Linked DNA regions of Drosophila melanogaster. The protein of the gene in region 1 interacts with the protein of each later gene in a pairwise test. Each region holds a gene or a part of one and is shown in the gene's direction. Other genes may lie near its edges.

What was found.
Region 2: the proteins of CG13196 (region 1) and CG5866 interact in a two-hybrid assay, tested with the Drosophila melanogaster proteins (one large-scale study listed by BioGRID).

What each region holds. Positions count from the first base shown.
Region 1 is NT_033778.4:11,683,638-11,688,582, reverse strand, and holds CG13196 (uncharacterized protein), read left to right. Parts: upstream 1-2,148; 5' UTR 2,149-2,168; coding exon 2,169-2,524; intron 2,525-2,640; coding exon 2,641-3,243; intron 3,244-3,303; coding exon 3,304-3,476; intron 3,477-3,537; coding exon 3,538-4,073; 3' UTR 4,074-4,418; downstream 4,419-4,945. Other genes in the region: buffy, read right to left, coding at 26-193, 255-563, 624-770, 847-1,122.
Region 2 is NT_033777.3:17,413,977-17,417,201, forward strand, and holds CG5866 (uncharacterized protein), read left to right. Parts: upstream 1-1,762; 5' UTR 1,763-1,769; coding exon 1,770-2,379; intron 2,380-2,436; coding exon 2,437-2,498; 3' UTR 2,499-2,529; downstream 2,530-3,225. Other genes in the region: CG42822 (uncharacterized protein), read left to right, coding at 1-130, 198-350, 413-423.

The sequences.
Region 1 (4,945 bases):
TTTTTACGCTTAATAAACAAAATGTTTAGGAATTCGTAAATCGTTGGTATATTTTTGGTACAATCAAGTTAAATATAAATCGCAGAATCATAAAAACTAGAATTAGGCCAAAAACTACGCCTATAACCAAAGTGGTCCACTCTAAAGGATTCAGGCTGTTGGTAGTGGGTAAAACGTGTGTGTTGATGCCACTCTAAAATGGAAAATCATTGAAATGAAACCTCGACAATTATGAAATGATCGGAGAAACTCACCCAACCACCATTCTCGTTAATCCACGGAACCAGCTCATCTTCGATCACCTCGGAAACGCTCTCCATCAACTTGGGCAAGTATTCCGGATGTCCTTGGCGTACACAATCAACGGACAGCCCACCGGCGATGGCGAACAGAGAGATCACCTTGCTCCACGTAATCTCCACCCGGAAGAGCTCGCGACCAACGGCTCCCAAAAGCAAGCTCACAGCATCCGGAGTATGGAACTCACCACCCGGATTCCGGCAAATCTGACGAGCTACTCCGTTGTATATCCGGGGATGCATGCGCTCCAGTTCATCGCCCAGCTTGGGCAAAGGTGTGTAAAATGATTAATATAATAAAATAAAGCGTTATTTTTTGCTTACCACTTGGACCGCTGGAAACACATCGCGCACAATGCCCATGGAGGTGGAGCCCAGTATGCTACGTATGCGCTGCAGTCCCAGCTTTTTGTTGAACAAACCAGATCTTCTGAGGCGTCTCTTGATATAATGACCGCACAGGCAACGACCCTTCGGTTTTTTTATGATTTTTGGAATCAGGCGATATTATATGTTTGTGCAAGGAATTCCTCGTCTACCAGCTCACCTGAGAAATGATATCCTGCGCTGGAATCTGTGCCGCCTTCCAGCCAATCGTGTAGGAGAGTTTCCTGGTGACGGCATCGCTGACATTACTCAACCTACGCCTCGTGGTCTCCTTGGGACCACCACCAACCTCCAGTAGTGATGCGGAATGTAGTGTGGCTGGAAAACTGAACTTTCTTCGATTCTGGGCCTGCAAGAGGCGCTCACTTTGTGTGGTGGCCATCGGAAATCCGTTGCTGAAATTATCGTTATTCGTGGGATACGAGGTGCCGGGCATGTTTCGCGCAACCGATATCGTTCGAGATCCTGAGGGAAATCGCCTATAAGTATGGCAAGAGGTGGCGAGACTTAAGTCATATATCAACTGGCTGAGGATCCAGTTTAAGTTTCTAACAATCCCCCCCACGAAGATTGGAAAATGGAGTGTGTTGTTAATTTAATAAATTGCATTCAATTTGGCAAATCTTCCGCTGGGAATCGTAGCCAGCTGAATGGAAAACCAGTCATTCAGTCGCACAGTTACATCAAAAATAATTGGCTCACTATATAAATGTCATGTTTAGCTGATTGAAAGACCATAAACGTGGCTCAAAAACATATATAATATATCATAAAAGATATGCGTTATTATTATAACGAACATTTAGATGGATTCTTTATAAGCCATTATATTTTGATCTGAATAAACCTGTTTAGTTCTTGTATATTGATCGAACATTTGATATTAACTAACTATGATTTCCCAAAAATGTGCTTAGGAACAATGTTTCCCCCTGTTTAGTTTCCATTATGACGCTCTGCGATGACTGTTTGTTTGAGCCTGCCCAAAATGGGCACATTAACGGACAGATTGTCGGCTCGTTAGGTTTGATTGGCTTCTGGCTAACAGCGATCAGAAATCCGCAATATGGCCAAAATGCTGCTGTGTCGCAGCTGTTGTCATTAGTTGTCCACAAGCGAGATGTCAAATGGCAAGTGATTTGTGGGACAATCTGACTGGAGCTGGTGGTGCGGCAAGTGAATCGAAGATGCAACTTTGGAACTTGGCTACTTATTCCCCGGAGAGCACTTCGCAATTAGCTTTACATAACCTGACCCACTCAAGACCCATTCGTGACCATGGAAAGTCTGTTGAGTACATCGAAGTCGTGTGGCATTTTTTTTTTTTTTGGGGACCCGACCATTAAAAGTGATAGCTGAGAAAGTGTGAGGTTCCAGAATAATTTGGCCTTAAATTAATCCAGGCCATAGGAGTCACGCCCAAACGCCTCAGCTTATAAAAACCATATCACTTGCGGCCCAATCAGTCAGTTATTGGTCAATATGTCAACCAAGCGGATCATAGCCCTATTTGGATTGCTAACTATCCACCAGACCCACGCGGATGTGTCGCATTTCTTCGCTTCGCCATTGGAACACTACGGAAACTATCTGCATGGCCAAGTGCCATTCCAAGTGGGACTATCGCCTTCGAACCTGTATGGACCTCCGCCTGCTGCTCCCATAACTCCTGCCCCAGTGGCTCCTGTGGCCACCACCGAGTTTAGTCTGCCGGAGATCATTGAAAATCGCAGTGTGAAGATTCAGGGATCGGGACATGGCAACTTTATACCTCTGAGTCAGCACTATCTACCGCCAGCTGTGGACGAGCGTCCCAACTACGAAAGCCCCAAACCAAGGTGGGTTACCAATCTCAAAGATACATAGTTCAGATCCTAACGATCCTATCTATAACTATAGCCTTTTTAAGATACATTTTTTGCCAAACCATTTAAACCCGCATCATTTTTTAAAGCGAGGAGTCTTATCCAGCTTACTACTATCCCCAACCTGGAGGAAGCATCATAACCACCTCCACACCCACCACTACCACTACTTCGAGACCCATAATTGTACAAGATCCTGGAGACGATGTTGAGACGATACATTCGCCAGGCTACGACTATCATGCCCCAGTGGCTGTTCCAGTATTCCCCCAAAAACCATCCACTCCTGCTCCCGTTTACCTGCCACCCAGTGATGGAAACCAGGATCAAAATCAACTGAGACTGCGGCTAAAGGACATGCGTTGCCTTTCGGCGGGTTACTTTCGAGCTGTTCTCAAGTTGGACAGCTTTTTGGGTGCAGCACCGACTGTGGACCAGGACAATGATGATCAGCAGGATAAACGCTGTGAATTGAGGCTGTCTCGAAGTTTTCTGCTCTTGGACATTTCTGGCGAGAATTTTGAGCGGTGTGGTGTGAGATCCTGTGGCCAGGATCTTTGTCTGCGTTTGCGATTCCCCGCCATCAGAGGGTTAAGAACCAGCGGAGATTCGATCTTAACCCTACACTGCAAGGCTCAAGAGCGAGTGGCTGTCAAAACGCATGCCCTGAAAATGGGCGTGGCCAATGATGTGTAGGATAGGATTTCTATTAGAGATTGGATGTTTTTGAAATCTAAAATTTCCTCTTTCAGACAAGCTCGCAGTGGAGGTAGCTACGCCCATGGAGGCGATCAAAATGCTTTCCGCACCCACGTGGAGTTGCTGAGAAAAGGAAGCACTGGATACACGCGTCATTTGGAAAACAACGGTGCCGTCCAGTTGGGCGAAGAGCTCCTTCTAAGAGCCCACGTTCTGGCCGGAGATGGTATGTCACCTTACGATTAAATGCCTAAAGGCTTAAAAGATATGGCCTTGTATCTTTCCAGGCTGGAACTACACCAAACTCAGTGATGTTCAGCTCCAGAGGATTGCAACCGGTGGAGAGATCCTTAACACGGTTCAGTTGGTCAGTTCGAGGGGCTGTCTAAATCCCGCCATGCAGGCTATCTGCGCCCATCCACCCATTCTGGAACCTCCGCTTGGCCAGAGACTGCACTTCAAGGCGGTCATGTTCCCTGGGATGCGAAGTGGGGAGGTTCTGGTCATATCCATGCGCATCACTGGCTGCTTGGAACGCGAGGATTGCCAGGTGACGGCCCAAGATTGTTTGCCATCGGTGGGCCAACGGAGGCGACGGAACGTTTCGCACGGCAATAGCACCGAAGTCTCGGAACTCTCGCATCTCACCTTCCGCGTGCTGATGCCCGGTGAAGAGGATGTGTCTCCAAAGGATCGGGATATTGAGATTGGAGATTCCGGTATCAGGGAGACATCCAAATCTTTAGCTCTCTTTGGAAGTTTGGGATTTGTGGTGATGCTAATGGGTGTTGCTGTTGTGGCATTGTATAAATTTGGAAAATAGTTCAATTTGAATCTTAATTTCTTTCCATTATTTCTAACTACATGAATATACCCCTTTTAAGACAGAAATCCTTATCTAATTTGTGTATAAGTGGTTTCCCTGCTTACCCATCCATTAAAAGCAGTCACAAAACGCCATCAATAGCAATCGTATCTGTATCTGAGGCGCCAATCTTGAAGTGACTTTTATCTATCTGGCTGCCAAGTAAATTGACTTATCGCCACTGCGAAATCAACAACGAGCCAATGTTTGCCCATTTCGAGATTAAAACAGAAATTAGCACTTAATAAAATGTAATTTATGTTCATGTCGCCAGTGATTGAGCGGACCTGAGAATAAAATCTTAAAAAAAAAAACAAAAAACAAGTGTACGATAGATAGCTCAAAAAGCCAGTAGGCAAACCGATTTCCAAACTGCGCGCTTAGTTCGCAAATTGCAATCTGTGATTTAGTTATGGCCAGATAGTTGTGGCCTAAACCGAAATTTTATCACGTTTTCACGCTTCGAGCGCGGCTAATGAAACCTCGTTCACAGTCGATTTCGGTTTTTGGCTTTGTTATTTGGTGCAATTTGTTGACGGTTTTCGTATATGATAATCCATCCATCTGGCTGGCTGACAGTTGGCGCTTAATGGGCATGAAAATCGCAGCCAATTAGCCGTTGATTTCAGCCGCTTTTGCTCGATGGGTGGCCAAAAGTCTAGAGTTACAAGTTAATTACCCATTGGGGCTTCAGGAGATACATACATACATAGGTATTTCGGAATTTGTTTGCTAGCTGGGTGGCATTGTGATAAAATGGTCATCGTGAGATTCTTCTAACTTAAATAGTTGAAAAAAAATAAATAAATAAACAAAGACTTTGTTGTGTG
Region 2 (3,225 bases), on another chromosome or scaffold:
AGCCAAGTTAGGGGTAACTGTTCAGGCGAATGTCCGGATACGGAGGAAGTTGTTTGGGCTCTTGGAGGAGGTTGCAATGTTTTCCGGAATAAGTGTTATTTCGACAAGGAGAACTGCCATCGAAAGCCAGGTGAGCAGTTTCTTATTACAACTTAATAAGAATTAATCAAACGAATATTATGTTGATTATATAAAAGCCTTGACCATAACGACAAAGAGGGAGTGTCAGAAGCAATGCGCCGACATTTGTACAGCCATCTACCAGCCCACAACTGGAATCTACAAGGGCGAAGTCCTAAACTTTGGTAACGAATGTGAAAAACGGGCTCACACCTGTCGTACTGGCCAGAGTGAGTTAAACTACATGTTTAGATATTACAGTTGACTTATTTCCCTTTATTCAATTTTACAGCTTTTTTGTAAGCCACGCAGAATGTTTTAAGCGTGAACGAAAGTAAATGAACTTTTACACCTAAATCTATTAGTTGTTTTTATCTATTAGGGCTCTTTGGGGCCTCAAGCATGAAACCAAATATCGAAGTCGTGTTTGCGTAACAAACAGCCAACAAGTCACGTAGAAATCAAGCGAGTGCGCTGAATAATATAAAAGTGTTTTAGTCACACCCAGTTTAAAAGATATGGTAAAAAACTATTGTTTAATAATAATAATTTTTAAAATTCGCTTTAACATAATATTATAAATATGTAATCCGTATAAATTTCATTTTGTTTGTGTTATATAAAAATGTACATTTATATAATATATGGCTCAGTATAAATATTATTCATCCTATTAATGGAATAGCACATATTTCGTATCTTATTATATTATATTAAATATTATTTAAACTAATTAAAGATAGAAAAGCGTAACTCCATGCATGTCCAATATAATTCACTAAAATTATCCACTTCTGTTGACCACGTGACGTTTGCTTTGGGGTTTTAGAGTTACAATTACCTAACTTCAATTAACTAATATAATTACAACAGAATAATACAGTAGCTTAATTACTTACATATTATTTGTGAAGTCCGCGAGATAGATTTAGTAGCACTTTGTAAACAAATAAATCTAAATAGATATATATCTTCTTCAGTGATCCCTTTCTTAACAGGAACTTAACATTTTATTTTAATATGAAACGTGAATAAAAAGCTGAAGAAATATGGTCACAATTCCAGTTTATGAGATTATTTATATTTTGGGTCACACATTTTAAAATAAGTTTTAGGTACATAACAGTTAAAACACTTGTATACCTAACATTAGTCGTTTCCAAGTAATCACACCTGTTAAATACACACATTGTAAAATAGTTTACTTTTAATATTCCGTGACTCTAAACTACACGTCCAGTCACACAGTCTTTACTAGAATCAGTTGAGAATTATAGGGCAAAATCAAAATAAAAATATTAAAAGACCATTATATTTAAGACCATTTGTAAAGATGTAAGCATGCGAATGGGTTCAGTCAACTCGGGTTGACCTGAGGGTTTAGAATTCAGAGCTCTAGGTAAAGAAACTCCCGAGTTGAACGTTCCTAGCCTGCATATACCACAAGGTTGTGATTTATGCCCTGCTTGAGAGTATTTATATTATTTAATTAGCTGCCCACTAGTGATGCTATTGCGGTGCTTATCTTTTAATTAATTTCTAATTAAAATGGGTTTCTTATTAAGTTTAAATTATTGGACTCGGTTTCTATTGTGCTCTGGGTATAAAACCGAAAAGGTTCCTGTGAATCAGCATCAGTTGAAGAAAATATGGCTCTGCGTTTCGTTTTCTTGCTGAGTGCTTGGATGGTCCTTGCCCAAGGATCCTTTCTGCGCAGATCGGATATTATTATCTTAGAAGCGAAGGTTCCCCAGAAAGGATATCTGCCTGTCGAAGATGCTTCAGTGCATCAAATCGTTCCTAACGAGTCATTGTCTGCAGGAAAAGAACATCAACATCAACGAGTACATCTGTATCAATTTCAATCGCATCCTCACGAGCACGGACCCCATTATCACCTAGAAGGGCACCATCACCTATCTGAGCCCCACCATCATCATCAGTTGTCTGAATCGCATGATCCTATCCACGGATCCCCTCAGCACCACTATCATGGTTCACATCCTAACCAACAACTCGAGGCACCATTTCAAGAAGTTCATGGATCCCACCATCAGCATCCAATCCACCACAACCATCTGGAGGCACCATATCACGGAACTCATGGTGTTCATCATCATCGCAACTGCCACGCCACCATCCATTGCCCCAGGGTTCATAGTCCAGCTTATGCCACCGATGGTCATCTCTGCTACAGGGTGGAGAACTCCTGCGCACTGGCCGTTTTGAACTGCCTGCGTCGCAATGAACTTAAGCCAGGTTGGTTATAAACATATCTAAAACATTTTCACAAATGATATTATTGTTTAATTGCAGTTTTGAGACACATCGGTCATCACGAATGCCATCGTCTGCCCAGCGCTTACAGGGCCCACTAATTCTAAGCTCAAGATAACTAAATATAAATATAAATATTTATATAAATATAGATATAAATATCTAATATAATATCCTAAGTTGTATTGTTTTCTTTTTCTGAAATATAATATTGTCAAATGAAATAATTTTGTTGTTGTCGGTGTTGTGTGTACTATTTACATAAATCTGGTTGTCCTATGTATGATAATCTTATGCATAAACCTATATTCGGAAGCCTAGATCTTTTAAATCTTTAAAGATAGAAGGTATTTAAAGATATGGTATCATTTACCATATATATAAAACAAAAAAGGCTAGCCTCCCCTCAGGTCCTCCTCATATTAATATCAGGGCCATTTTATGCCAATCGAAACAACTGTAACTTATTAAATAGATAACAAATTAAAATGCATTACAAAACAATCAATATTAAATGCCTTAGTAGATTTTCTCGACTATTAGATACCCATTACTCGTTGCCATTTAAGAATAAACGCCTTAGTCGATTTTCTCGACTATTAGATACCCATCAGTCGTTGAAGTCTGGCTTCAGATATAGATCCTATTCTGCATACATAATGGACGGACGGACGGAAATGTTGGCACGATCAACAAAATATATACTACAAAATGATTGAAAATTTGCTGTTTTAAACTAATCTAGTATTGTTTTGTGGTACATTAAATATTCGAATTTATCAAGTAATGGACTTCAAATATAATAATACATTTTAAAAATTTGGTTAG